Drosophila melanogaster: one gene and its partners. The protein of the gene in region 1 interacts with the protein of each later gene in a pairwise test. Each region holds a gene or a part of one and is shown in the gene's direction. Other genes may lie near its edges.

Region 1 (7,743 bases):
AACTTGTTGTTTATAGCCCAAGTTATAATTTAAATACACATATCAACCATCACGTAGACATTGAATGTGGTTTTGTTCGGGGCTTTCCCTTGTCCTTCGGCTGACTGTCAGGATCAGGAAATGTCATCGCCAAAATCCAGTTATTTTTTTTTTTTTTGCCCCCTTCACTTGGGATCTGCATCTGCATCGGCATCTCCATCTCCATCTCCGTCTTCATAACTATCTGCAAGTGTCTCCGTTTGCGGCTTAAGCTGCCAGTTTGACAAATGACTCACCTGACGCCAACTTCTCGGTTTCAGCTTAAGCTTAAAGCTAGACTGCACAAAACACTGTTTAAAATACCGATAATTTAGAGATATTTCTCTAGAAGCCTTGCTAGGTTAGCTTTAAGAGCGTGATGACACTATAGTCTGGATGATATACATAACATTTATCAAATTTCACGCACACCTTTATTACTTTATATTCAACCCTTATTCCAAACGTCTAGTTATTTCTCGCAGTGCAGGCTCTGCTGCAGTTTCCGCCAGCAGCGAGGCGAGGAAATGATCCATCAAGCGTGTGAGTTATGTACGAATTTTGCAACTTTGCCACATGGTTGGCTGACTTGGCTTGATGGCTACCCAGTTGTGGCTTCTGCCTCTGCTTGTAAAGCAGACCCAGTTGACCCTGGTCAAGAATCGGACGCTCAAAGTGGTTTAATAAACTGCAATTACCCGACCTGGCCGGGCCGGGCCTGGCCTGGCCCAGCCACCCGCCACTGGAGATTTATTTTGTGGATTCTCGTCCAGATTAGTCTGGGCCACGCAGTTTGCAGTTCGCCAGTTATTTTTGCGATAAATAGCGAGTGGTGATCCAGTGGTTACAGCATTCGAGTGCCACACTTCGAGACGCACAGCAAAACAAACCAGGATCTACTCTCCGAGTCAGGACTAAAAGCTTAAAATCCCAAACCACACATAATGAAGGTATTCATTGTACTCTGCGCACTGGTGGCCTGTGTTTCGGCCGGATTGGTCCGATCCTCGGGCTGGGGATCGAATCCTTGGGGCGGCAGCAGCTCCGGATGGAATAGTGGCTGGGTTGCCCAGCAGCCGCAAGTCATCAAGGTCATAAAGATCGGAGGAGGCGGCGGCTCCGGATGGGGCGGAAACTCTGGATGGGGCGGTAACTCCGGATGGGGTAGCAACTCCGGATGGGGCGGCAACTCCGGATGGGGTGGAAACTCTGGTTGGAGCAGCGGCAACTCCGGATGGAACAGCAATGGATGGTCCAGTTCCAGCTCCAATAGTGGATGGTGGTAAAGAATCGAAGAGCTACCATCTCTAGGAGACGAAAAATCCAAGCACAATCCCAATCCCGATCCCCTCTCTCCGCACCTGGTTCACAATCCACCCGATTTTATAACATAGTTTTTAAGTACCATTTTTTTTTGTGTAACAAATAAATAAATGAATAAATCAAAGGCATAAAGTTAACATTTTTATGATGCATCATCTTTAAATTATGGATCGTTAGCAATTAACATTCTAAGCCTGGGAGCCGACTATATATCTGACTGAGCAGTTATTAATATTTTATGCATCGCGCAAATGATTGTGGAACAGCGTCTTGGTGGCCAAGGTGGTGATGCGATTGGAGTTCAGCGGAGATCATCATCATCATTTGGAGGTGGAGGCACTGTGGTTACACTTTTAGGTTTATGAAAATATAAATGTCAAGTATATTTGCGAATCGATTTATTATTAAAACGAAGCATAAAATTTAATTTTCGGGACTTAATTAAATGATTTATTTAATTCAGCTTTTGGTTATTTGACCTTTATAATATGAAATGAAAAAAATTATCGTTACATTCTAAAATCACTATAAAGTAAACTTTCTTAAGAAAGAAAATCAAGCATAGATAAAATTGTATTTTTTTATACATTAATCAAAGCCACAGAGAACTTCCCTTATTTCAACAACAAACGGTTTCATATAAAAATGAAGGCCGGATTTTATAATCTTTGACGGAACGACATGTTTTATATATATTTATATTTTTTAATGAAAATGTAAAATACCAGCTTGTTAGTGTCTTCTTATGAACCTTAATTATTGTAACGGAATATTTAAAAAATATAAGACAAGGATTGAAATTAATTGTAACTTTGTATAATATTTTGTCTATAATAATTCATTTTACTGGTTATTGGTATCAATTATATGCATTTGTAGCTTACTTTGCCAGTTTCCAACTTAAAATTGTACACTGTACAGACAATTTTCCTAAGCTCGGTGGTTTTGGCTCTGGGTTAAGCCCCCAACTAAACAAATGTTGTTTGCGCATATCTGCAGCACGCGTTGGGAGCCAAGAAAAGCAATATGTTCACATTCACGGTGGAGTTGATGAAATTTATGGTAAGTAATGCACTTGAGCGATGCAGCCAGCCATGTTTGCACGCCAATTGACATTGAACCAGTGTCTGCGGAGTCGTGTCTCCTCCATTTGGCGATTCAATTGCGGCTGCTGTATAAATGAAGATTAATCGCCGCATACATTGCATGGCTGTAGTGAGAAACGAAGCCGAAATTAAACATAAGTACGAAATGAAAATTATATTAACATTTTTCCTTTTTAACAGCACCGTTTTAATGCTCTGCGAAAATTCAAATTGGTCGATTTAAATATCCATAAAAATGTTTGAAGTAGTAAACAATATGATTAAATATTCAAATAAGTAACGTCTTAAATTACCGACAAGCTATAAACAATATATCGTGTATTGAAGGTTTAAGCTCTATTTATGCAAAAACCTATTAAAATATGTTTGCATTGAATAAACAAATAAAATACGGGAGTAAGCCTAGTATACATTAAATACATTCGTAAGAATAGTTAATATATACCAACGATTCCCAACGATTCTCTACAGCGTCGGTAAATTTGTTCCATTAATTCCAAACTTTACTTAAACCTGCCAAGCGGCAAGACTGAAAATAATAATTAAGAAAATTCAACAACAAATTGAATGGATGGCGCAAAATGAAAAAGGCAAATATTCTTAGAATTTCGCATAGAAATAGTAAACTTGTAAGACAAATTGCTAGGCGTTTCGTGGCCAAATGTGCTATGTGCGCTGGCAATTAATGATGCAGCCATGGCTCAGCAGTTTGCAAGTGGTGCGGTGGCGTATACGCGATGTTCCCAGACAGCGCACATTGCGTATCCGCCGAGTGCGCCGACGTACTTGAGACTTTTTTAAACCAGACAAGTTGCTGGTGAAGCCAGCCGCTTGCCGCATTGTGCCGACATGAAGTGCAGTTCTTAACCTTCCTTTGGGAGCTCCAGCTTGGAGTTGAAGGGATGGCAGGCTGCTGACTCAGCCGAAGTTTCCGCCTTTCGGAGCTATAAAAAGGTGCCTCGATTCTGGGTTAGTTCATCAGTAATATTGAGCCTCCAGCAGTGATTACACAGCGGTTCTAAGTCGGTCTAACAATCTTTTTTTTTACTATATTTTTTTGAGTGACTAAAGAGTTCTAAGGATGCGTCACGCTGTGATCCTTGTTTTCGTGTGTTGCCTGCTGATCGCCTTAACCTCAGCCGGTTTGCTGGGCGGTGGAGGCGGTGGTGGTGGCTACGGCGGTGGTGGTGGTGGTGGCTACGGCGGTGGTGGTGGTGGTCAGAGCGGCTACGGCGGCGGTGGCCAAAAGAACGGAGGAGGCGGCCATGGAGGTGGCGGCCAGGGAAGCTACGGAGGCGGTAGCCAAGGCAAGTGAATATATTTGGGATATGCCTATAGTTAATACTAACTATAATCCGATATTACTTCTATGCCTAATTTGATTTAATAACTTAATAATGAAATGGATTTTGTTATAATATACTTTATTGGTTCTAAAAAACTCATTTTACAAAAACGTTTTATGGTATGTAAATAGTTAAAATGCTTTCAGCATACAAATGTTTGGTCAAAACATTTAGAAAATATGTACATAATAAATATTTGAGTAATTTATAACCTCATTTAAAAAATTGTCAGCTAATATTTAAAATGTATAATTTACCGATGTTAGGGTTAAGGCTTACGATATCTGTAATATTTATATACACTTGCCTTCTAGGTGGACATGGAGGCGGTGGCCAAGGAGGTTGGCAGAAGAACGGAGGAGGTGGTGGACAAGGAGGCTATGGAGGTGGCAATCAAGGTAAATATTAAGTTCAATTAGTTTAATCCAAGATTACAATGCTTTTCTTAACCTGTATATTCATTTCAGGTGGCCACGGAGGACAAGGAGGTTATGGCGGCGGCGGTCATGGAGGCGGTGGCCATGCAAGCAAGTCCTTGGCCGGCAATCGCGGTAGTTCCGTGTCCTGGCAGGGCGGAAATGGAGGCAACAAGAACGGAGGCGGCGGAGGAGGTGGTGGTGGCCTGTACGGTGGTGGTGGCGGTGGAGGTGGCAAACAACATGGCGGTGGCTGGTAATCAAACCACCAGGAGCAGCTAATCCACCGTCTGATGCTGACTTGTGTTCCATGGCATAGAGATAGAGACAATCCCTAGATTCTTCTATTTTTCTTCTATCGAAAGCCCAATTTTTCCTGCTTTTAATGTTTTTTATACTAATAAATCTTGTTTATGCATTTTGTAATTATATTTGTTTTTCTATGGGGCACATTACATTATCTACTACATTATCGGGGAAGTAAAATTATATGAAAAATTATAATCTGTTGCAAAAATTGTATCATTTTCACCAAAGAAATAAAAATAGTTAATTTAGATGCAAAAATTAAAAAAGTTGGCGGCAATGGCAAATAATATACGCCCAAAATATATTTACTATACATACTAGCTCTTTACATTTTCAAACAAAAATTTTCCCTTAATTTTCTTGATTCATTTTTTAAATTATAAATAATTGAATAAACTCACCCATAAAAATAAAAACGTGGGATAAAATTACTTTCTTGTAAGATTTATTCACATAGTTAGATACACAAAAAAAAAAAATGGTTAATTTAAGGGCAGAATTATTATGTACAGGTTGAGCAGTGGATAGTGGTGTCGCCTCGTCGCCGATTTTTCTCGGATGGATGCCGTTTTCTTTCCAGGATCTGATTACCAGCTCCAGCCGCTGCCTCCGCCTCCTCCGGGGGACCAACCACCGCCACCTCCACCAGAGGACCAACCGCTGCTAATCTTGCTGGGCCAAGCGGAGGACCCTCCGGAGGACCAACCACCAGATCCACCGCCGCTCTTCCAGCCGCCGCCTGAGGAACCACCAGATGACCAGCCACCTCCACCGCCGCCGCTTTTCCAACCGCTGCTTAAGCTTCCCAAAGCTTGGGATTTCCAACTGGAGAGACTGGACAGTGCACTGGATAATCCCGAGCTGCCTCCTGACTTCCAGCCAGAGCTGCCGGAACTTGGCCAGCCGGAGGATCCACCGGAGGACCAGCCACCTGAGCCGCCGCCGCTCTTCCAGCCACTTGAGCCGCCGCCGCTCTTCCAGCCACCTCCTGATCCACCAGATGACCAGCCGCCTCCGCCGTCACCACCGCTCTTCCATCCTCCAGATCCGCCACCTGAGGACCAACCTCCTCCGCCGCTGGAAGGCCAAGCACTGATAATGACCTTACTGCCACCTGATCCTCCAGAGGACCAGCCTCCACCACCGCCGCCACTGCTCCAGCCATGTGGTTTGCCCTGGGCGACTATGCAGCCCAGCACCACCAGCAGACCGAGAAGGCCAAGTCGTCGCGTTGTAATCGTGGTTTGCATCTCCGCAGCTGCCGTGCACTAACTAATGCCCCACTGCAGCCACTCTCGACTATTTATACCCATCCAAGATTCTGAGCCACAGCTTCGCCACAGCCGCTGCCTCGTATAATCAGATGTAATTGCCAAAACTGCCAGCGACCAGCTTACAATGGCCAGTGCTTGGGCGCTTCGGGGTGGCTCCGAGTGGTTCAAAGTGGGCCAGAGTGGCTCGGGTGGTGGCTCAACTCACCTCAGTACTCGGGCCTCATTATGCCGGCATCAACTTTCGGTTTCGTACGCTTTGTGGGCCCACGTAGGTCGGCTGTTTTGTGCCCAGCAAACGCCCCCAGATGGAGCACCTGATTTACTTTACTATATAGATGACACTCTGTAACAATGGATTCATTACCTCAGGATAATGGATACGATCAGCTCATGAAAACAGTGGGAAAATGTCAGGTGTTATGAATGCAAATTGAAGAGCTGTGTGGGCATTTAGGTGAAGCTCACTTAAATATATATTAAAAAAAAACGGGTTGTTTAAAATTACAAAAGGACTTTTTTAAGCAAGTCTTTATAATAAGGTAAATATATTTTATTCAATTATTCAAAAATTATACTTATTAAAATCATTTTATAAATTTCAGCCCAAGGCATACTTTTATTTTGCAGTCTAGTGTAGCCCAGTAGCCGATACCGCATCATGATCGCCGATCTAATGGCTCTCCATTTTTATGTAGCAACCGCAAAGTACTTAATTGAGTTCGCCCGCCGGCGGTTGGATGGATACTATAGATATAGGTGCCAGGGATTGATCTGACGATCGGTTCTTTATGTCTGCCCATTATTCAGAATGGCGATGGCGATACAGATGGAATTGGTAATGGAATCGGTATAGAAATTGGCACTGCAGACGGCAGGTGGAGGAGGTGTGCCATGGAATTGGAAATGGAGATCGAGGCAGCTGCGTGTTTGTCTTTTTGGCTACCGTGCTACCGTGCGGTTGCACATAATTCGTGCTGTCTTGAAAATCGGGTCACCGCAAATCAATCAATCAATCGGAGACTTGGGCCCAATTGTTCCGCTGCAACTTATGAGTTGGCACAGAACCCATCACAGGAGATTGACGGGTCTCGAAAGTAGGTGTCTCACACCACGATGAGCTATATCATTATTTTAAAAATGCGGATCATTGCTATAGATTATTCAATTTTATCACAGACATAATTCTAAACAAGAATAGAAACCGAAATGTATATACATTTGGCTAGAATATTTTTTTATGTAATATATTCACAATATTTATTTTATCAATTTTTTTTATATTGTTATTTTTAGGTATATATTTTATTTTAAAAATATTTATTTTTAAAATTTGATTAAATCACATTAATAACTATTTTACAACAAGAAGTATTTTAAAGCTCATCATTGAAAAGAATTTTTATTTATTGGTATACCCCAAATTTATTCGCAAGAAATTAATCCTCTAGAACAAAGACAAGAATGAATATTTTTTTGAAAATTTAAATCGGCCTATCTTGGCCCAAAATGCTAATTATAGACGTCTGATCGGCCAATTCTAGAACCGAACCGCTTGAACCTTTTGGCTTTTGCACGTTTCGATTTTAATTCATGGGCGGCATAAAAATCAAATTTGGCTCTTTTGTTCGATCGACTGACAGGCTTTTTTTTTTGCGACGGATTGATCGATGGCTGGAAAACAATCAAATGCGCTTTTTGGTTGCGCAAGTGCTGCAGAAAAGCCGAAATAGATGTCGAAAGTGCACTAAGTACCTGTCTCATTACCTTCCTTCTTCTTACTTCGATTGGCAGGTGATGACCTCAACCATTTGGCCATTGGGTCAGCGGCAGAATCGACTCAAGATTCGAAGCAGGAAGCCAAATTTAACCGGTTCCCCATGCAAGCACAAAGCACACGCAATTTAAAATGGAAATTCTTTTCTTGTATATTGTATAAATTCTAACAAACAAA
Region 2 (7,277 bases), on another chromosome or scaffold:
CGGTCGCTACAGAGGGGTCACACAGATACACACCCATACACGCACACACTCGGGCACTAACTGACATGCTAAATATTGCATTCATCTTGTGCATTGTGTCCATGTGGCAAATAATTATGGCATTAATATTCCTATGCAAATATATGTGCACAGTGCTTTGTTCGCCATATCTCGGCATCCGTGAGATACAATCCGCCTGTTTGGCTTCGGTGGCTGGGGGTCGGGCAGGGCATGTGTTCATTAATACAATTATGACCGCAACAGGCGTGGGGCATAAACACGACTTCAATCCCTTAGTGAAACCATGCACGAAATATATTTATACTCAAAAAAATTTCTTTGAATTACAGAATTCAGCTGACCTAAGAAATATTCCAACTTGCATGCTCTATCTAAAAGCCACCAAGTAGCTTTAGTTTTGTTACAAATTTCCTGATTGATCAATATAAAATTCATTATAACATTAAATTTTGTAAGATAACGAAAAAATAATTTTTTTTCCATTTCTAAATGTGTTTGAAGAAGAATTTAGACTACCTGCTCATAAACAGCGGATTCTGACTACGAACCCAACTTTTTTCCCTGTGCACGCGATATCCGCTCATTTTTTGGCCGCCGAATCGGTGAGGTAAGCTCCATTAGTGAGTTTTGTTTAATCGCATCAGCCAGCCGAAAATCCAAATCAACGGCAGCTGCAGCAGCGGCAGCATCCTCCGGGCAGGCCGAAATGTATAATCAAGCAGGTACAGACTGTTAATGGATCTAATACCCCATATCCCGTATTCCCGGACTCCGTGCTCCATTGCAACAAAGACCACCCAATGGCACCCCCTTCTAAGCACAGATTTGGTTCGCTCTAATGAGCTCTGCGTGCAGCTTAAGGGCAACTGTAGCACGGCTGCTTCTATTTGCGGCACTTTGGCAATATGTGGCTAAAATTACTTGCAACTGCCGGCGGCAGGGTGCAGATACATCACCACCAGATGCATTTTAATTGGAATACCGAAACAGCGAGTAATAGCGCACATCGAAAAAAAGAAAGAATAGTAGGGCAAACAAAAAGGCGGCGACTGCCCAATTAGAAGCCTATTAGTGGTAACCACCACCCCAACACCACCCTCTTCCAATCGGAACTGCTCCATTGTTGCTGGCAATTTTACCAGGACGAAACAGAGCGCCCAAAGCGAGACAACAAATTATGCCAAATGGCTAATGAATAAATATCCGCAACCAGCACTCTACTCCCGTCCGCCGGATAGTTGGCATCCTTTGAGATGCACTAAAGAAAATGGAAGAGTGCCTGTAAGCCTTAATGATAAAATAAAGAAATCATTTTGGAAAAATATTCGAAATTCATTGAATATATAGTAACTTAAATAACTTGCAGGAATATATAAAACGCGAATTTAACATATAATACAAAATCATTTGTAATATCATTTAAAATTATTGTATTTTTTTGAAAACATTTGTGGTTTAAAACAATACAGTTGCACTCATGTTTCTTGATTGCAAAAAAGAATCTTTCTACAGACATTTCCATATTTGCAGCTTTTTTTTTTAATATACACAGCTCTATGATATAGGTTACAATGAGGTAAACGATATTAAAATTTAATTTTTTCCCCCTTTCTTTATCCTCTAGTTAAAAAACGTATTTATCATTTTTATTTGCCGCCGCGTTGAAGTTGCACTTATGAGAGAGCTCGGCGAAAAGCGCACACACGGGCAAAAAGCGGCAAATGCAGTTTTGTATATCGCTCGGTGCCTGTGTAATTGTATCTGTGTGTACTTTGTGGCATGCCACATAAACTTGATGCTGCTGCTGTGTGATATTTTAGCATTGAGCAGCTCTCAATCCCCCAGCATCGCATCCCGCAACCCCCTTCGCTCTCGGTGATATTTAAATCCTTGTTCCTACGCAGGGATAGCTGTTACGCCGGCAAGGACTCGACTCAGTTGGCTTTTGTATGCGCATTAATGCAACGACTCTCATGTTTATTCACACACAAATTTGCAGCGAATACAACGCACAGAGACTGCGGTGATAGCGGGATGCATTCACAATCCCACACAGAACCCCGGGACTCGGATACACTCGCACTTGGCTGAAGCAATCTGCTGGCAAATGCGCTTTACATTTTGCACACGCTAATACAATTTAATGGTCGCATTAATTTGGCGCATCTGTTGCATTTTAAAACACGCACACACAGCCACATCATGTACGAACACCCACACAGTTACGTGGATAGACTGGCACACAGATGCACAGATACACAGATACACAGATACACAGATGCACAGATACATATACACGTTCAAGGAGCGGCAGGCAACCGCAGGATACTTTGCTCACTTTGTTGTCGGCGGGGGAGGTTAAAGCATTTGCCAACTGCAAATAAAGTTGCGCTCAGCTAAATATTAATTCTAACCAAGTTAGGGGAAACTACTTTAATGGCGGGGGCGTGGCAGCCGCACAACTGCTTAATCCTTAGCTCTGTGTAGTAGTCGGAATGAAGATTGAGATACATGCGCTCGGCACCAGACAAAAAAGACCTGATATATGCCACCAGCAGGCAATAACCGTTTCACGTCTTCTTGTTTTCGCCAATGAACGCTTAAACTATTGGTGCACCGAACAAAAATACTAATAGAAATAGGATCGCAAGTATGTTGATAAAACAAGTTTCAATATTTTAAACACAGATAAAAAACCTCTTAATATTTATAGTTCAACTCAGTTTTTTTGACAAAAACTTATATTAGTATTTGTATTAGAAACTTGATCGATTCAAAACACGTAGGACGACAGCCAACCCTCTTCATTGGAATGTCAGATGCGTGGGAAGTTTGTTATTGCTGCCAATTAGGTTGCCATTCTGTTTGTGCCAATGTTTGCATATTATTTCTGCCCAATTTGCATTGATGCAATATTGTCCATGTCCCGCGCAGCGCTCCCCCCTCCCCCCCCCACACCTCGTTCCACTACATGGCGGCGTCAAATGCAGAAAATGTCAAAATTTAAATATTGAAAGTGACGTTGGCGTACAAAAACCCCTCGTGTTGCGGGCGTTGCACTAAGCGGATAAGCGCTTGTTAAATTTTTAATGCGTTGCATAATTTTTAGTTCGGTGTGGATATTTTGCACACAATATGTACGTACTATATGTTCGTATATTTTAATTCGAGTGGCGGATGCGAAACGCAGCATGAGTGCTGGCTGCATTTGAAATGAGCCGCATGTGGCGATGGCCGATTAAGCCCGGTTTAGAAGCTACACATTCCTCATTTCGCACTCGACAATGATCCATTTATTTGCACTGTCAGCGATGGTGCGGGAGGGGAAAAAAGGTGAATGGAAATTTATATTAATTATAATTTTCACAGCCATGTCTTCCCATCAATTATCAGAGTTTGTCCGACGGCTCAGTTCTCTTTTCAGCTCTTTTCTGCTCTGTGCATTTAAATTTTTCCCCTGCAAAGTCCTTGATAAACATTTTTCAATTAATTTTTATTTGCTGCCGCCGACATTTCTTTGTCCACACACGCGCATATATTTATGTATCTTGCTGCGTGCACATAAGCAACAGCAACAGCAAGTTGACGGCAGCAACATCATCGCCTTTATGTGTTTCACGTATTTCTTTAACGGATTTCCACTTGTCTCACTTTTTGAGAAAAACTTGTCGAGATGGCACTCGCATTGTCAAGCCCACTCACACACAGACATTCGCAGATACGACGAGTCAGACAGAGAGAAAATCTTACACGCTCGGGAATAAAGGAGAACGGGCAGCAACGGTGCGTAAAAATTCGTCCTGGAGCAGGGAAGCACTTCAGATGCGTTAGCCCAAAATGCGGGGTTTGATAAACGCAAAAAATACTCAAAATAAAAGATATAAAACGTTTAAAAATATAAATTCAAATCTTAAAAAAAGATGGCTTACCTGTTCTGAAGACAATGATTTTATTTTAATTTTGAAATCAAATTACCCTTGAGTAAGATATCTCAGAATCATATTTTATCGCATAGAAACAGTATCGTGTCAGCAGAGAACAAAACTAACAAAAAAATGTTTAGCCGTTTCCTAAAACCAAGCCTAGTTTTATGTAGGAGTGTGAGCAATACCGCATCCCTTCGCTACAAGGATCCCATTTATCAGATTTTCCTGGACAAGGTGCGCGAGTATCGGCTGAAGAGTCCCAAGGGAAAGCCCGTAGATCCTGGTCCGGAATTCGAGGCGGAGCTGAAGGAAGTCACTGAGCGCCTGGCTCTGCAATACGGCGGCGGCGAGGGCGTGGATATGCTCGAGTTTCCGAAATTCAAGTTGCCCGATATTGATATTGATCCCATTTCGGTTGATGATCTGTAAGTTACAGTTAAATTGGAAAAAGTTTTTATAAAAATATAAATATTTACTTAGACCAGAGAACCAACCAAAGCCTGAGAAAAAGAATAGAGATAAAGAAGTAAAGGCCAAAGAAAAGGGTGGGGAAAAAGAAGTGAAAGCCAAAGATGGCAAGAAAGCTGACGAACCAAAGGGCAAGGATGAAAAGGACAAGATAAAGTAGATCATCACTAAAAATAATCGTTTTAAATGTTGTTAAAATTTTCGCACAATTCTTAATACTTTAAAAATTATAAAATGTTTATGTTAAAAGAAAATGAATTTAAATGCCTGCAGATTCGAGCTACCCGTTTGTAGCTGTTCCAGGATAGAGCCGAAAAAAGAACGCACCGAAATTTTTATTAAGCACATACATGCATAAGCAGCACTCACACACACCATGCTTTTACCATGTTAAGTAATTCCTTAAACAACACAACAGGTCGCCGCCATTCGCATGGCCTTGTCCCTCCCCTTGGTCCTTCGTCCTTTGGCGCTCCCGCACGCCCCATCCCACCCACTTCCATTTTTTCCGTGTAACTGACGCTGAGTGGCAGACACACAGATACTCACACAAGCAAATTGAATTTAATGCTTTCTGCTGTTGCTCTTGATAAAACGATGGCAAGCGAGAGGAGGCAGCGTGTAAAGGACGAGCGTGGGAGCGAGAAAAACAAATCAAGAGACGTCGCGAAGGAAATACAAGCCAAACGCACAAATAAATACGCACAAGTACATAAATTTAAATTATTTTCGTGGCCTGGCCTCGCTTTCATTTATGCTTTTTTATTTTATTATGCCGCTCCGCTACAGTCGGCCTCAAGGATCCAAAGATCCAAGGATCCGGCATTTGACTACGGTCCAGACGTCCTGGCACACTTTCTGAATGCCATACGAGTGTCTGGCAGTGCGGTTGTATCTATACCCGTTGTATCTGTGTCTATATCTCTGGTACCGTTGCTGTTAATCTGTATCTGTAGCTCTGTGTCCTGTAACTGTGGCAGCGCATCTTCAGCTGTCTCTTAGCGAACTATGCGCCCGCATCGAGCAAACAACTACACCAACACACCGAAGACGTCCTTGGTCCTTGTGTAAGGCATGTTAACTGGGATTTGACAGCTCGTAAATAATATTTCGCTTGTTTGTTGGCTCGGTACAACGAGAGCAACGTCTTGCACAAGGTTGAAACAAAGACAGTGGTCTGAGTTCCCAACTTTATCTTTTTGCCTAAAACAAGGTAATATTCTTGTATTAAACCTGAGGTTTTATACATTTAAATGGCTTCTAAGTAGTTCAATTAAAATAAAATTAAAATATTTAATAATCTCTAATCACAAAGGAGCAGCGTTTAATAATATCATATTTCCAATCTTTGGTAAATCTAAATTATTACAAGAAAAACTGTTTTATTTAATTATATGCATATATTTTTTATCATAACTTTTTTCTTCTCATATCCGCTCATTCCTTGACATTTTCAACCACTGTGACCTATTCGATGGCAGCCATGTGAAAACGAGAAACGCATTTCATTTTTAAGCTGCTCCTTCTTGGCTCTGCTTGTTAAACAGTCTTTTTACATGACATGTGTGGGCGGTGGTTGGTTGGTTGGTTCATCCGGAGAGTCAGATTCTGATTCGAATGAGATGCGGTGGCTGGATGCTGGCTGGTTGCTGGCTGTCCTGGCATGTCCCGATTTTTCGGGACCAGGCCGCCACTCTCATTATGCGCACTCTCCTCGTTGCCGGCTTATTAAATTTTCATAAAGCACAGGCGCTCGTAAAAATTGTGCTCGGCCGCTTTTAAGCGCAAGTGGATTAAGATTAAAGCTTCAAGGAATATGACTTCAAAGGCGGACGAGCCGTAATTAAAGCCATGAAAACTGTCCGCAATTCGATTGCCGAAAACTGAATTAAACTGCGAACTCGACCGCCCAAGAAATAAGAGAAGTTGGGAAGTTAAGGAGAAACCAGGAGAACTGGAAACCACAGAAGGACTTGGGACTTCACCCACCGGATCCGCTCAACTGGAAGAAGATGATGGCGATGACGAGGCGGTGAGAGATATCTAAGGTCGCTTTCCCGCTTTTCTGAACCACACACAGACACATGTCTGTGGCTCAAAAATATATGTGGATATATATATATATATATCTGGCCGCTGGCTGTGAGAAAAGTGAAGCATCTTGTGCAATGTAAACGAAACGTAGCCGATAAAAATAATACGAGAGGCAATTTCGATTTATTGACAGGTGCTCGACTTTATTGAAACGTTTAACTTGAAAACCGATGCGAAAGGAGGCTCGCTCCATACATATAGATTTATGTATGTAGTAAGTGAGCACATGCAAAATTGTGCAAAACGATAAAAATTATGTGAATTTCGTTGTGATTTATCGCTGTGAGCCGGGGCGGCGCTTGGGTTTTATGTGCCCAGATTTATGGCTTCTTCGCCTCGCCCAGGATGTGCATTCGAATTTTGGACAAATTTAATTACACTTTTACCTTGTGTGTCTTGTGCGGATCAGCCACGCACTATTTGTCATTTTGTCCGAGACCCATAAATTCCGATGTGCATTTAATTTTGCCGAGCCGCACGTACGCATCAATGCCTGGGCATTATTTAATAATGAAAATTGAATAGTCCTAATTCAACCTGATGACAAAGTGGGTCCAGGTGGATATCTATGTGTGTATATGGTTTGGTATGTGAGTGTGTGCAGGACACGTGCCACTTGAACACATACGCACTAACACAGGATATACGGGATACACAGGACGCCCCTCCAATTGTGGTTTTCCTTTTGTCGCTTCCGTTTCCGCATAATTTTTGCAAGCGGAAAACTTGAGAGCGCTGCGCTAACAAAACATTTGTTAAAACGGAAGA
Region 3 (7,733 bases), on another chromosome or scaffold:
GTTTCGGTATCGGTATCGGTATCTGTGTCGGTATTACATATATCTGTAACTGCATATGCATCTGTATCTGTATCTGTATCTTTATCGTATCTGTATATCTGTGTTTGCATCTCAATCCCTACTTACTTAATTAACGTTATGCTGACTTTTGTGAAAGCGGTAGGGAAAGGACCAGGGCACGCGGTCATTTGCATTAACCACCACCAACTCGTTTGGTTCCTCATTGGCCCAGTTGGGCTTGTCCTCCAGCACCTCGAACCGTTCCAGACCCAATCCCACACCCATTCCCAGGCCGAGTCCCACACCTTCTGTTCCCACGTCATTGTAGCTATCCTCGCCCTCATTGTCGCCGTCATCCACATATCTCGCCGGGTTTTTACTGGCCCCATTGCCATCGTCGTTCTCATGATTCGTTTCGTTGGCTTCATTTCCGCTGACCCGATGCCTGGCCAGACTCATTCCGGCCACGTCCAGTGGTTTCTTCGCATAGCTGAGCAACTGCAACTGCTTTGGGAGTGCCTGGGATTGTGGTCCAGTCGATGCTGATTGCTGGGAGTCCGCAAACTGTAACTGTGACGACTCCTTGTACGGCGACAGGGCCCATCCGTAGCTCCACAGTTGGCTGGGGAAATGCTTCCACGGCAGCAGCTGTTGACGGTCCAGCTGCTCCTCACGAACTGCATCCCTTTCCCTTTCCCTCTCCCTCTGCCTTTCCCGCTCCAGTTCCCGCTCCACTGGCCACTGCTGGCGGTAGCGCCTGCTCACCTTGGGAGCCAATCCTCCTGCTCCCGATCCTCCGCCTCCTCCTCCTCCTCGCAGCACGACCCTCTTGCCCACGTTCTTCAGGATGGCGCGATTCAGTTCGACCTGGACACAAGAAAGGTAACACGGTTCACATAAAGTTAAGTAAAGTAAAATGCTGTTAACTGCTGTAAAATGGTTGACAAATTGAAATGGAAGTGGGGTAAGCCCGGTTCTCCCTTATCCCCATGGATTTTCCATGTACTTTTCCCGGCAAAGGGAAAGCTAAACTAGATTGACATGCATGATGGATGACCACATTCAATTTGGATCACAAATCAAATGCCAGTGCGTTATTACATTAATCGAGGATGAGGTATGTGGCACGATTACATTTTAAGCACTTTAAGATACTTTAGGAGCAGCTTTAGTTGCTAAACTGAAAAGCCACCAGATACTTTGCCTAATTACTTTATAGTTACTTTAAGTCTCAGGTGCTTGTATAAAACATACTTTAATATTTAAAGCCAAGATGATTAATCGTTGGAAATGTATTTATACCTTTTCCTATCTTTTAACTTAATACTCGGTTTAGCTTAAATCCAATTTAAGTGTAAATGCCAACTTGCAGTTTTCACACCTTGGAAATTCCATTCTTCTAGTGCTTTGGATATTTATTTAAATTTCTTTCTGTTTGCCAACCACTTTGCAGGTCTTTTAAAGAGTCAGGTGTTTGCATTGAGCTGGGGATTCAATGTCTAACTCGTAAGTTCGGGTGACATTGCATTTTTCCCTTTATATTTTTGGCCATGTGAAAGTCTATTTTCATCTGCTGGGAATAGTGCACAAACCGAAACGTGATCTATTCCTTTAAGCTGTGAATAAGTATGTCGATTCATTTTGTTTGCATTCAAATTCAAGTGGTGAATGCTATTTCAGATATCTAGCTCCATCCTAACTTTTAAATACACGTTTCTAAATGTAACTTTCCTTTAATTGTGTGGTATTAAATTTGACAGCTTGCCGTTGAAAACCTCATTTTGTTTCTTTGAAATTTCACTTTAATTTCACTCCATTTTATTTCCCTTTTATTTGCCAGTCTAACCCAGGTGTTTTCCGAAAACATTATGCCTGCTGAAGCTCATCTTTCTCCGATTCGGATTGCTTTCGGGATGCATGGATTAATTTATGAAACCCCTTTGACAAATCAATAATGTTATCTGGCGTATGTGAATAGGTAGGTGGGCATGCGGATAGGCACATCCATGGATGAACATGACCCTCTTTAACGGAAATTCGTGGGAGGAAAGGTGAAGCTATCAAGGCAAATCGTTTGAATTCCTCGTATTAAAACGTTTGATTTTTTTTGTTTTTAACATTTTCGTTGGCCTTTTTGTCTTTGTGTGTGCGCCTTTGGGGGATCGGAACGTTTTGGTAACCAAATAAACTCGCTTTGTTACCGAGCAAAAATATTTGCGTTACACATACGCCATGTTGGCTTTGTTTTTGGCACTGAGCCGCATGCATATACGTATGTATATTTTTGGGTGTCAGGGCCATCCGATGTGCTTAAGCCTCGATTTCGGGTTCGCCAGGATGTTGTTTACATTCCAGGAGCAAGTAGGTGTGTGGGCTGCACAGAGTCTTACCATTTGGGTCCTTTGGAAATTTATTAGATTCGCTAGCTGCGATGAATTAAAAAACTTTCTGCACCTGCGTTTTATGCGTTTTTATGGCTTTCGAAAAGTATTTCTCATCAGGCATTCTAGTTTTGATTAGCCCGCTACATTTTCATTTATACCTTGCAACGCGACCTACTTTCATTCCCCTTAAGACGCGGCATTGTTCTCCGTTTGTCTGGGCCATACGAAGCCAAAGTTTTGTTTTACCCTCCTTTGCAGCTTATTAAAAATACTTGGCCAAGTGGTCAGCCATCCCCGTTTAATATTGCAGAACACGAGACTGACCTGGCGGGAGTTCTCCTTCATTTGCCTGCGTGCGATTTCCAGGAGCAGACGCTGGCGCAGCACATCCAGCGGATTGACAATGGACAGCGATGGTTTGTTCCTCTTGGCCAGCAGAAAGTCATCCTAGAACGAAATACATACATATTTAGTACGTTAGATTCGCTGTTTGGCTGGAAGAAGTTTCCCAGCGCATGGCATAATAAAATCCTGACGAGGTAATGCAAAAAGTTTTAAGTCCCTGTGTTTATATACAGTTCTGTGCTCGAAGTTTATTCTTTTTTTGTTTTGTTTGTTGATGGAAATTAAAATTATTATTAGCATCGATGGTGAGCAATCTTAAGGGCCTCGGCTATCGCATATTTTTTATATCACCTTTTGTTTTTCCCACAATTCGGGAAATTATCGTTACACAAAATCTTGCAAGCTTATCGGTGTGTTGTTCTACGTTTTTTCCACGATGATCAATTGGGAATTTCGTGATAACAGCTCTTCACTGATAAGTGTGAAAACTTCAAGCTAATTCATGACTCACACGTAGCCACAAAATAAAATTCAAAAACAATTACCTTGGGGGGGCGGTTAAAAAACACCTGATACTATCACTTTACGATCCGCCCAACAACGCATATCGCAATTTCTTTACACCACATGAAAAAGGGGATTTGGATTTTGCTTGATCATAAAGAAATTACCCGAAATTTATACAGAGTCTGGACAGGTGCTTCTTTGGAAAAATTTAAATATTATCTTTTATTTGTTGGTGTTCCTTCCAAGAAGTATTTACGTATCCTAAGTTCAGGGCAAACAGTAAACAACCAATCCGAATTCATGTTCAGATAAATATGATAATTACGATTATTGTTGGTCTGACTATCAGACAGGTTACCTGCGATTAGATAAGAATGTGGCAGTGTGAGGTCGAAATGTCTGGCAGTGAATGGAAGTGGTTATCAGCTTTCTATAAAAGCTATGTCCATCTGCAGAACCCGGTAGTATAATCGAAACAATAGCGAAATGAAGGTCCTAACTCTTATCCTCTTCACTGCCTTGGTGGCAGTGGCTTCTGGCCGCCCCAATGGCGGTTGGTTCGGAAATTTTGGCAGCAACTGGGCCAGGAGGTTCGGTTGGGGCTCCGGTGACGATGAAATCGTGCAGGAACAGAGGTGGAATAGCCAAAATCAGTGGAATCCAAATGGCAACGGTCAGGGTCAGTGGGATGGCGAAAATGGTCAGGGACAATCTCACGGAAACAATCAAGGCCTCGGCCAAGGAAACGGACACGGAAACAACCATCATGGTCATCATGGCAACAGTCATGGTCATGGTAATGGTCAAGGCCACGGTGGACAGCGCCCTCCTCCACCACCACCAACGGATCTGCCTGAGTTGACCACCGAGGATGATGTGGTATCCACCACGGATGTTACCAGTCCCGCGGAGGAGACCACTCTGGCACCCGAGGTTCCAGAAGAATCTACCAGTCAGGCACCAGAGGAAATCACCACCGGCTCTGAAGAAGGCAGCGGTTCCTCGGAGGACACCACCACCCTGGCCCCTGAAGTTCCGGAGGAATCCACCACTCAGGCACCGGAGGAAAGCACCACCGACTCTGAGGATGGTAGCGGTTCTGAGGATACCACTCAGGCTCCGGAAGAAACCACCACCGAGGAGCCTGAAGAATCCACCAGCGAGGCTCCCGAAGAATCCTCCAGCGAGGCGCCCGAAGAATCCACCACAGAGGAGCCCGAAGAATCGACAACCGAGGCGCCTGTAGAATCCACAAGTGAGGCACCCGAAGAATCGACGACCGAGGCTCCCGAAGAATCCACAAGTGAGGCGCCGGAAGAATCCACTATCGATTCTTCAGCGGTCTAGGAAGTTAGTTTCATTGTTACCAAGGTTTCTGGTTCATTTTCTCAATAATCGTTTAAAATTTGGCGTTTCCGAGTAACAAGGTTATTAAACAAAGCGTTATAAAACGAAATATGGTGCAAATATTAAACTGTTATAGCTAAATTATTAACATGTTCTCCCAGAAGAGCGTAAAACCATTTCTAGGGTTAGGATTGAAGCCTCATGAACCCACATCGTGTTATTATGTCACGCACTCGCCATTTAGTTTTATAGCTCCAACAATCTGAACAATTAAAACAACCGAAAAATGAAAAAATCCCAAGTCACGTTTACTTATATGACATTACTCAAAACTTTAAGGTTCTAAACGCATTATAATGCTTATCACTTAATTGAACTTTCGCTTTCCGAACCATGAACATTGGCTTTTTAAGCGTTGCGAGCCGATGATAAACTGATTGATTGACGTACATACATCAATCAATGAATCGCTACTTGACTGATTAGTTGGCCAATCGACCCTTATCGAAACATACATATGTATGTACACATGCCCATTTGTTCGAAAGAACATATGTTTGTGCCCAACGATGTGTCATTTATGGTGGTACAAATGGAAAATTTCGTAATTGGCCTTTAACGTCGCCTCGGGGTTGTATTTTTAATTCTGCCCCCATCATAAAACATCATTTCATTTCTTTCAGTAAATAAAATTAAATTGTTTACGTGTCCTTCGCATTTACGTGCTTAAATCTCCAATTTGGCAAACGAACTTGCCTCGCACTCCAATTCCAGCGAATAAAGAATACAGAATAAAGAATCAACTTAACAAAATTCGAACTTCTTAAAAAGCAGTGGTAAAACTTTTGATTGTGGACAACAGGAGTTGGCCAAGACAAACAGCATGTTTGGTTTTCTTTTTTTCTTCCTTGACGTAAATTTCCATTTGTTTTTTAAAACATAAAAAACCCATAGACTCAAATCAATTTTGTTGCCATGTTCGTGTGCGTTTGGGAATTTATACGATCTTTTTGTTCGACCGAAGAAGTTTTACATTGAGGTATTCGAATTGGTCAAGTGCCTAGATTAGATTGTGGCCAAAATTCAGATCGAGGTACCAATAATGTGGTATTGATTTCGAGGAAATCGGAGAATGAAGATTTGCCACTACTATAAAATGCCTAATGTACTTCCCATGTATGGATAACTCTTGATAAGAGCTTAATCTTTTAGCAATTTAATATATCCGCGCTAAATAAACTGCGTATGAGATATTTTTCAATCTATTTGGTTTTAAAGGGTTGTGCGGAACCCTTTGCGGTCACATTTTCTGGCTTCTTGTAAAAGTTAACGCATTGTGGCGAACAATGTGTCAATTTATGAACCGAGTGAATGGAACCAATGAAGGTTGTCAAAGGAGCGATGAAATCGCCCGTTTGCGAACTGCCGAGCCAATAATTGAATATGCATTCGGAAAACATTCAAACAAGTGACGCAAAAACTGCTGTCACTCACTCACAAAGGGAGACAGCCAGAAAGAAATGCACACCAATGGCCAGGACTATGCCCATGCCCATGCCCATGCCCACCTGTGAGTTCCGTGTTCCATCCGGGTAGTCCAGAGGATATCCGTTTGTGCGGCCGCTTCCGCCGACCTCCGCTCCACCCGCTGCCGCTCCCGATCCTCCTGCAGCTCCTCCTGCTCCAACTGCTCCTCTTTGGGCCGTGCAGACGAGCCTTGTGGCACACAGTAAAGTTAATAACACCGGACAAAACCACGCTGTGGCTTTCATCATTCTGCAAAAAAGGAGGAGAAAAAAAAACGCACAGTTGCATGGGTCAGTGCACAATTCATAGATATGCATGTAACGCCAACAGTTTCAGCATAAAAAAATAAATAAAAATCTATCAAAATGAATGAAGAACGTGAGTATTAGTGTATATATCATATCAACCAACTCTGCTAAAACTATGCATATTTATTTACAGTACTATAGGTTATAGGGTATGCAAAGTACCATACGCTATGCAAATTTGATCTGTTCATTTGCGTGGAAAATTAAGCTCATCTGTGGCTATTATTTTTTGAATATTTTCCGAGCCACTGTCTTGTGCAAACTTTGACCTCCGCCGTTTTCCCACTGGAATAGAGTGAAAATAAAATGCTGACAGCTAACCTGTGAAAAATGCGAAATATTCTGACAACAAGAAGTGCTCTCATATTTTATGGGTCACGTAAATATGTGGTACTTCTGAATGTGGCAGTGTAGTTCTTTATGTACTTCCGAGTATGCACCTATATATTTACATATGTATGTATATCAATCCCATGTCCCTCTGGACTCTTCAATCAGTTGGCAACTGGAGTCGGGGGCAATTTGCACGAGGTGCACAGAGGAAATTAGGTTCTAAATTGAAGACGGCGACGAGTAAACGGCAGCACAACTAGATTATTTTCCTGTTGCACAGCTAAAGTTACCAGGGGAAAAGTTATTTCCAAAAAGAGGAAAAGGTGCTTAACTTGGAAAGAAAAAGTTCAAAGATACTTTAGGCACATAACAGCCCATGAAGATACTCTACTAGAGTATCATGTATCTATTAGATTGTTTCATTTTCTTAGCCGCAGACAAATAGGTGATTTTTCAAAGTCTAAAGTAATCCCTGGAAGAGCATTCACCAATTAATTCAACATAAACGAACGTTTTTTTTACTTTTGATCTATAAACAAACCCGTGTAAATGCATAATTAAATGAAAACCCTTTGGCGCTTTCAGGAGTTTTTTTTTTTTTTGTCCTCCTTTCAGTTTCTCCCATATTTATTTAACATATTTTTCTTTCCCCTGGTTTTCCATCATAATCCTTTCATGAGGTCACTTTTAATTGCGTAGAACAACTGAAAGTTTCACTTTGGTTTTCCCACACCGACGCAATGTAAAGCAACCATTGTTCTCAAAATGAAAGTTCCCTAATCCAAGTAACTTTGTGTAGCTAACAAAATTAAGTAACAATTGCCACAACAAGGAAAACTTCTTGCAATTTAGTGTGTGCGTACGTAAAAGTTTGAACTGCCATAACTCAAATTTCTGCATTACACAAAATTAGGTTTAACATTCCTAAATAATTTATAATCCCAAGAGCGATGGCAGCTCTAAAGTTAAACACAAATTGGCA
Region 4 (8,350 bases), on another chromosome or scaffold:
AGTGGCGATCTCTTAAATCATTCATCTATTTATAGCCGCCTAATGGAGCGTGGCGAGCAAAAACCAAAAATAGCAACACTCGATGGACCATCAAGCGCGTATCAATCGAGATGGCGTATAAATACTTTCGGCCGATCTTGGCCTTAAGCGCTCATCGAGATCCGAGAGGCAAGAGCATCCAAAAATACATTGAAAAGCGGCGACTTCCGCTTGCAATTACCAATGGTAATGGATTGTCACAAATGTATCCGATCTATTCAAGCATATGGCAGACATAAATCGATGCAAATAATCGAGACAATCGAAGAGCCCTCGACCATTGTTCCATCTGCCTACGAATCTACAAATCTAAAATATCTACAAATCTGCGGACTTCGCCGGCTCGTCTTTGTTTACTTTCGTTTTGTCTTCTGGCAGCTGGCCGCGCTAATCATCTTATATGGCCAGCCAGAGTTCAATTGGTGCTTGAGACACTTTTTGACAATAGCAACTAGACAATCCAAATCTGAGTTCGGCCCCAGTAGAAGAAGCCATCGATCGATGCGGTAGTTCGCCGCTTGTTAACCGGTTTGCTCAGCGATCATCATAGCTCATCTCAGTTCATCTGATCTCGCAAAGTGAATGGACATCGGTCAGCCGAGAACTTTTCGCGCAGTTTGTGTATAAATAGTGTCGTTGGGTCTGGTTTGAAAACAGAATCAACTTTGGATTAATCTAGCAGACATCGTCTTGGATCTTCTGGAAAAATGGTTAGTTCTCCAGCAGTCATCCTGCGACCAGGACTAACCCATAACCCTCTCCTTCGCTTATTGCCTTGCAGAAATTCTTTGTCATTGCCTTTGCTGTGATCGCAGCTGCCTCGGCGGCCTCCATTGCCACGGATTACCTGCCGCCAGTGGACAACAACCTGGAATCTGCCTCCGAACTCGTGGAGGTGCCCGCCGAGCAGGGAGTTCTCTCCGACGATGGATACCGCTACAAGACCGTGCGCCGCCTGAAGTTGCGCCACCGTCGTGATGTGAACGAGCTCCCCTCCGGTGAATACCTGCCCCCTGTTGAGGAATCCGCCTCCGAAGCCGTTGCCGTCGAGACTCCTCTGGCTGATGATGGCTACCGTTACAAGACCGTCCGCCGTGTGATCCGTCGTCGTCGTGATGTCTCCGAACTCTCCCCTGAGTACCTGCCCCCTGTTGAGGAGTCCGCCTCCGAGGCTGTTGCTGTCGAGACTCCCCTGGCTGATGATGGCTACCGCTACAAGACTGTCCGCCGTGTGATCCGTCGTCGTCGTGATGTCTCCGAACTCTCCCCTGAGTACCTGCCCCCTGTTGAGGAGTCCGCCTCCGAGGCTGTTGCCGTCGAGACTCCCCTGGCTGATGATGGCTACCGCTACAAGACTGTCCGCCGTGTGATCCGTCGTCGTCGTGATGTTTCCGAGCTGTCCCCTGAATACCTGCCCCCTGTTGAGGAGTCCGCCTCTGAGGCTGTTGCTGTGGACACCCCTCTTGCTGATGATGGTTACCGTTACAAGACCGTCCGCCGTGTGATCCGTCGTCGTCGTGATGTCAATGAGCTTCCTTCCGGCGAGTACCTGCCCCCCGTTGAGGAGTCTGCCTCCGAGGCTGTTGCTGTTGAGACCCCTCTGGCTGCTGATGGATACCGCTACAAGACTGTCCGTCGTGTGATCCGTCGCCGTCGTGATGTAAACGAGCTGTCCGCCGAATACCTGCCCCCTGTTGAGGAATCCGCCTCCGAAGCCGTTGCCGTCGAGACTCCTCTGGCTGATGATGGATACCGCTACAAGACCGTGCGTCGTGTGATCCGTCGTCGTCGTGATGTCTCCGAGCTGTCCCCTGAATACCTGCCCCCTGTTGAGGAGTCCGCCTCCGAGGCTGTTGCTGTGGAGACTCCCCTGGCTGATGATGGATACCGCTACAAGACCGTGCGTCGTGTGATCCGTCGCCGCCGTGATGTCTCTGAGCTGCCTTCCGGCGAGTACCTGCCCCCCGTGGAGGAGACCGCCTCTGCCATCATTGATGTGCCCGCCGAGCAGACCGTCCTGGCCAGCGATGGCTACCGCTACAAGACCGTCCGTCGTCTGAAGCTCCGTCGCCACTAAGCCGCCGATTGCGCCAACTCCCACCGCAGCATTTGAGATTTTCGAGGATGTTTTTCCAGAAGAAGTCCTGACTTTGACAGTCTCAGATTGAAACTAACAATAAGTCGAGCGTATTAGTCAATTTGAATCCACTATGAACAACCCGAGTACAAACCCGAACTTACAATAATAAACATTTTTAAAACAAATATCCTACAACTACTATATCTTTTTGCAGAATATTTTTAAATATTCGAACTATCTTTTAAACAATATGCCTAGGATTGGGATAAAGCTTATAAAGTCGAAGGAGTTGGTGAAAAGATTTTATAAAAATATTTTTTAAAATGGGCAATAAATAAAGAAGACTCTTATTGTCCTTCGATAGTACAGATATAAAATATTGTGTAAGGACTTGAACTCAACGAATTTTGCATATTGAACATGTTAGGCTTAGAAATATAGGAGACATTTTAGATTGAACATAAATGAAACTATTTTTTTCAGTGCTGATGACCTCAGAAGTAATATATAGCGGGAGAAAAGAGAGCCTTCTAATCTTATCAATGAAAGATAAGGTGCTTTGAGATAAGATACTAGCACCTGCCGACGAATGCAATCACGCACAGGTTTTTAGTTCCACTTTGGAGTCGACGACGTGCGCGTTACAAACTTGGCTAACAGCTAAAAGCGAACATAAGTTTTTCGAAAGAACCGACGAAAACGACGGAAATGAAGTTGGCTAAGAAGTGCTCCACCTACTTGGTGATATGCCTGGGTAAAGTTCTGCATGCTCGTTCGAATCTGCCGAGTTTTGAGTGCCAACTAGAGATACGCAGCACACCGGCGAGATACTTTTTGGTGCATGTGTGTGGGCGGAGTATTGTGCATGTGTGAGACTTTAACGCATTATGATGCACTGATGCATCCGTATGATTCCATAGGTGTGGGGTTTTAATAACCCAACTTCAGCAATTGGAGACTCTAACGATGAGTAACTGGGCCAAGTGTGCGTCACACAATCAGGCACAAGAAAACTCTACAAAAATGTGTGCTTATCAGTGCGATTCAGATAAGCACTGTGTTTACTCATTGTTGCCCCATCACTTGGTGTGCTTAACTTTAGGGCGTGGTGAATCAGTGAGTTCAGAGGGAAATCTTTTTGGATTGAAAGGTATCCCAAATAAAACATATAATTTAGCTGGCAGTGAGTAAATGCGAAATCATTTCCTTTGATTTCATGCAATTTTTATTAGGCCAAAAGTCCAATGCCCTAAAACCGGAAGTGGCATAATTATTGCGCATATAAATTATGAAATATGTTAGACAAAAAAGTGAATGAAAACAATTAATATTGGTTAGCGGTTGGCCAACGAAAATCGGTCGCACTCTTAGCCACATACATTTGGCGGATGGGTTTTGTCAAATGCCTGTCTCCATGAATCACCGACTAATCGAATCGAGGAAAAATCTATACACTTTCCATATCGACAAACAAATCCATTTAATATTTCATACGCAAAATATGCCGAATGAGCTGAACGAACACACACATAAAATATTATTAATTAAAAATACATTTTGATAATTTTACGTGAAATCGAATCTGACATCCGCAATGGAACAATGGGGAAGGAATATGCCAGCTCACATTTATCATCGAAGAAGTTGGCGCGCGCGCGCTATTTTGGCTCAATCAGAATCAGCGTTTTTTGTTGATTTTGGCCCGGCTCTGTTGTTAAACATTTTCTCAACGATTAATTGTTAATATCTTAACAAGTCTTCGCGCATTTGAAGATCTATATGATGAATGGTCTTGCTGTTATTTCAATGAGTTCCGTTTGGCTTGGGTTTGATGGATGCTTCAAAGCCAATGCCGCAATCTTACCAGGCCACCTTCGACCACACGCCGCGTGATCATTGAAAAAATGTGTATGATGTGTGTTTTGCGCCTCGGACGAATCACTATGTCTAACAAATATTAAATTTGTATATTCTTTTCTATTCTGTAGTACTGTTGGCCTGCTGCCTGCAAGAATCGGAGGCCACGCGACGTGTGAACCGCGGACGACGCACCCTTACCCGCAGATACTTCAGTAAGTGATGCCGTATACGTGATCGATATTGCTCAACATTGTTATTTCTTGCAGCTGGCCTTGCTATTCCCGGATGGGCTCTCATCGTTTGTGTAGCGGTAGGTGAGCTGCTGATTGGTGGAGCCCTCTACTTCATCCTCAAGAAGGTGATCCTGGACAAGGAACCAGATCAGACGGCGGCCTCCTACACGCCCGCCCAGACTCATGCGACGGCCACACCTTATACTCCCGCCCAGACTCACGATCCGGCCACGGCCACAACCTATACTCCTGCCCAGACTCATGAGACGGCCAATGTGACTCCCACTCCAACGCATGCCACCGCTATTGTCTGAGGAGATGTGTACAGATCCAAGTGACCACTTTTGGTTCATAACCCTTTCCAAATCAGTTCAAATTCCACCATTAACTAGCTTTATTGTCATTTAATCGACACACAAATAGAACCTGTGCCCTTTGTCTACCTTCATTTTCGAATAAAATTATTTGCCACTTATCTGGCGCCAAACTAGCTTCACATTTGTACGGTTAAACGGTTTTTAAGACGATACACGCTGGCTTTTAACATTTTATTGCACCGGCTAAGCGGCCCAATATCCGCCCAAGACCGATCCAGTTTGTCTACTCATTGTCTGCACCACACGCAACGCTAATTTATATCTAATTAAATCAAACTGGTTTTGAGTTTTGGATTTTTCATAGCCCATGCTGGGGATGAAGATTAATTAGATGAATAGATTTGTAAGCAAATTAATGCCTACTTTTGGGGCTGCGGAAATACTAGCTATTTTCAAGCTACACCCAATATAAAATATCAAAGGGTGTACGGATTATGAGCGGAGTCACCCGGTGCTTCAGCTGTCTTAACAGCGGATTAACATTTTATATATCGATGCTAATTGAACTGAACTGTATTCTTTCTTTCTCCATTGTAATTTTGCGGTCATAGCGATCAGACGTGATTTTTGTATATGAAGAAATAAATGAAGTTAAATAGTGTATATATGATTCTTATTTGCGAACCCCATTACAATGATGTCAAAGCAGTGAGGCATCACAACTATTCATTGGTGGCCCATGAGGGGAACCTTGCTCATAAGAATCATAATTAATAATTGCTAAAAGCTGTTTGGCAATTTTATCTTCGTGGTCGGCTTCATCCAGATAAATCACCGTGCCTACGTTTTCTATCGCGCTCGCTCTCATCACGACAGAGCAGTATACGCAAACGTTCGCGCTCGCTCTCATCACGACAGAGCTAAGTCCCGTTGCCCTTCGATTCCGTTAGATTTGCCGGAATCTCTGCCAACTCAAAAAACAAGACGTCAAAGAAGAACACCGATAACATACGAGCATTTGTGCATATTACATACAGTGGAGCAACGTCAGTATAAACAATGTCGAAATTTGATCAACTGGTGCGAGTTCAAACTGACCGCATTGAGTCTTTGAAGCGCTTGTTCAGTAATGTGAAAAAAGACTCGAGTGCGCGGAAAACGGAAATATATTTCGAAAAACGTTTGAATCAAATCGACGAGTTTAACAAAGAATTTCATCAGGCGCATCACACACTTATATGCATGGCAGACTACGAAGAAAGTGTGTATAAGCAACAAAATACAATCAGCCAATTCGAAGACCTGGGCATGGAAGTTTACTGTTTCGTGGCCGAAGAAAAGAAACGAATTTATCCAGGCACAGTGACGCACAACGAATCAGCTAACTCTACAATAACAACACATGTAGAGGAAGTACGGATACCACTGCCAAAATTACCAGTTCCGAAATTCTCTGGCAACTGCGCGGACTGGCCAAGTTTTCATGATGCATTTTTACGCTTAATTCACAATAATGAGCGTCTGGATAAGATTCAAAGGTTCCATTTTTTAAAGGAAGCATTACCAGTAGGCCTGGACAACGACATTCGCCAAATCGCTTTAACTGAAGCAAACTATGAAGTCGCTTGGACCACACTTCTACAACGATATAACAACCCACGAATTGTGTTCGCCAGCCACATGAACATGCTCTACAACTTACCGAATCTTTCGAAAGAAAAATCTGCTGACATACGGTCTATGGTTAGTACAGTCAACGTCTGCATTGCCGCTTGCAATACCGTCAAGGCGCCACTACAGGGAGGAGATTTTTGGTTGACTCATTATCTAACAACCAAACTACCCAAAGACACTCACACAGCTTGGGAGCATCATCTGGGCAGCAAGATTGACGTTCCTTCATACAAAGATCTGCAACAGTTCCTCAATGATCGACTTGTTACGTTAGACGCTATTGAAAGCCGTAACGCGTGCAGCGGCATGAAACAGTCAAATGAAACTTCAGACGGTACTAAACGCGTGCGTGTGCACAGCGCCCACACCAGGTCGGGTGCTTCCGCGTCCGCTTGCTATCATTGTGGCAACTTACACATACTTCGAAGATGTCCGCAATTTCTTTCAATGGATTGCTACCAACGGAAGGAAGTGGCCAGCAAGGCAAAATTGTGTCTCAATTGCCTGGGAAAATCGCACACACAAGCAAGCTGCCCCAGCAACAAGAATTGTCTTCATTGTGGTCAACGTCATCACACGATGTTACATTTTCCAGCAACACAGCCAACGCTGATACCCTCCTCGACATCATGCCAAAGTTCAGCAGCCAGTTCAGATGCCAAGCCGACTCTACAGTGCATGTCAACTACAACTTCATCTATGACTCATCGAAAGGTACTACTAGCAACAGCTCGGGTTGTACTCAGTAACACACAGACAGGATGCCAGGCCACGGTAAACGCGCTTCTTGACCAAGGATCGGAAGCAACTATCATTTCGGAGCATGCTGTACAGTCTCTCCAGCTCTCCCGAAGCACAACTCGCACTTCAATCACCGGAGTCGGTCAAGATTCAGGACGACGCTGCAAATTCATCGTAAGTTGTTCGGTGCAAACAGCAACTAACCCAAATTTCTCGTTAAAGGTCGACGATGCTTATGTTTTGAACACGTTGACATCACACATGCCAAGTCAAAGTTTTCCAGCAGGAAACTGGAGTCATATCCATGGTCTCACGCTCGCAGACCCCTATTATTATAGATCCAAGCGAATCGATATCATTTTTGGAGCCGACCTTATGGCACAACTCTTGTTGCCTGGAACTAAGATTGGCTTGCCAAACGAACCCATAGCGCAGAATACTCAACTCGGATGGGTTCTGTTAGGCAATGTTGGCAACACGCATATTACACGCCACATTCGATGTAATCATGCCATAATAAACTCCGAAGAGCTGCTTAAGGTATTTTGCGAGGTAGAATCAGTTCCAGAACGCCCAAAGCTCTCCAAAGAAGATCAATGGTGCGAGTCTTTCTTTAAGCAGACCCATCAACGTCAACCAGACGGCAGTTATCAAGTCCGTTTGCCATTCAAGAGGAACTTTGACCCCAGTATGACGCTCGGAAAATCTCATCAGATCGCCCTGAACAGATATCTTCAACTCGAAAGGCGCCTTCAAAGGGACCCAGACAAATGGATCAGATACTGCAAAGGAATTGAAGAATATTTTCAACTAGGTCAAATCACGTTGGCAGAGACGAGCGAAAACTCAACCATAACCACGGATTCCTACGGTCGGCATGTTGCATCATGCGTGCTACCACATCATGCAGTTTTCAAAGAAGAAAGCCTCACCACAAAACAACGTATCGTTTTTGACGCATCGGCCCGGACCTCAAATGGCAGATCGTTAAACGATGTACTATGTGTAGGTCCCACGCTGCAAAATGATCTGCCAGCCGTTCTCTTGAATTGGAGACAATATCAGTTTGTTTTCACTGCCGATATACAACGAATGTATCGCTGTATCAATGTCCACCCTGATGACACGCAGTACCAGAGGATTTTATGGCGGGCGGCGGATGGAGTCATCAAACAGCATTGCTTAACTACCGTCACGTTTGGAACAGCGTCTGCACCTTATACAGCTATAAGAGTCATCCATCAAATAGCTGAAGACACACAGACAAAATATCCTATGGCATCCAACGTTCTCAAAAATGAGATATATGTCGACGACATTCTCTCAGGCGATCATTCACAAGAGGCAGCAATACGGAAAAGTTTGCAAACTATGCTAGCTTTAAAATCCTCTGGCATGGAGCTACG

The links.
Region 2: the proteins of CG5172 (region 1) and ATPsynCF6L interact in a two-hybrid assay, tested with the Drosophila melanogaster proteins (one large-scale study listed by BioGRID).
Region 3: the proteins of CG5172 (region 1) and Fst interact in a two-hybrid assay, tested with the Drosophila melanogaster proteins (one large-scale study listed by BioGRID).
Region 4: the proteins of CG5172 (region 1) and hoka interact in a two-hybrid assay, tested with the Drosophila melanogaster proteins (one large-scale study listed by BioGRID).

Annotation. Positions count from the first base shown.
Region 1 is NC_004354.4:17,218,019-17,225,761, forward strand, and holds CG5172 (uncharacterized protein), read left to right. Parts: upstream 1-3,423; 5' UTR 3,424-3,528; coding exon 3,529-3,754; intron 3,755-4,107; coding exon 4,108-4,191; intron 4,192-4,260; coding exon 4,261-4,469; 3' UTR 4,470-4,484; coding exon of another isoform or gene 4,485-4,528; 3' UTR 4,529-4,633; downstream 4,634-7,743. Other genes in the region: CG12998 (uncharacterized protein), read left to right, coding at 963-1,304; CG34327 (uncharacterized protein), read right to left, coding at 5,106-5,768.
Region 2 is NT_037436.4:5,008,895-5,016,171, reverse strand, and holds ATPsynCF6L (ATP synthase, coupling factor 6-like), read left to right. Parts: upstream 1-4,038; 5' UTR 4,039-4,076; coding exon 4,077-4,372; intron 4,373-4,427; coding exon 4,428-4,575; 3' UTR 4,576-4,728; downstream 4,729-7,277.
Region 3 is NT_033777.3:9,642,117-9,649,849, reverse strand, and holds Fst (frost), read left to right. Parts: upstream 1-3,695; 5' UTR 3,696-3,722; coding exon 3,723-4,583; 3' UTR 4,584-4,872; downstream 4,873-7,733. Other genes in the region: Dh44 (diuretic hormone 44), read right to left, coding at 127-867, 2,709-2,831, 6,152-6,358.
Region 4 is NT_037436.4:4,896,170-4,904,519, forward strand, and holds hoka (hoka), read left to right. Parts: upstream 1-2,730; 5' UTR 2,731-2,827; coding exon 2,828-2,873; intron 2,874-4,107; coding exon 4,108-4,191; intron 4,192-4,245; coding exon 4,246-4,526; 3' UTR 4,527-4,700; downstream 4,701-8,350. Other genes in the region: CG13705 (uncharacterized protein), read left to right, coding at 747-749, 821-2,116.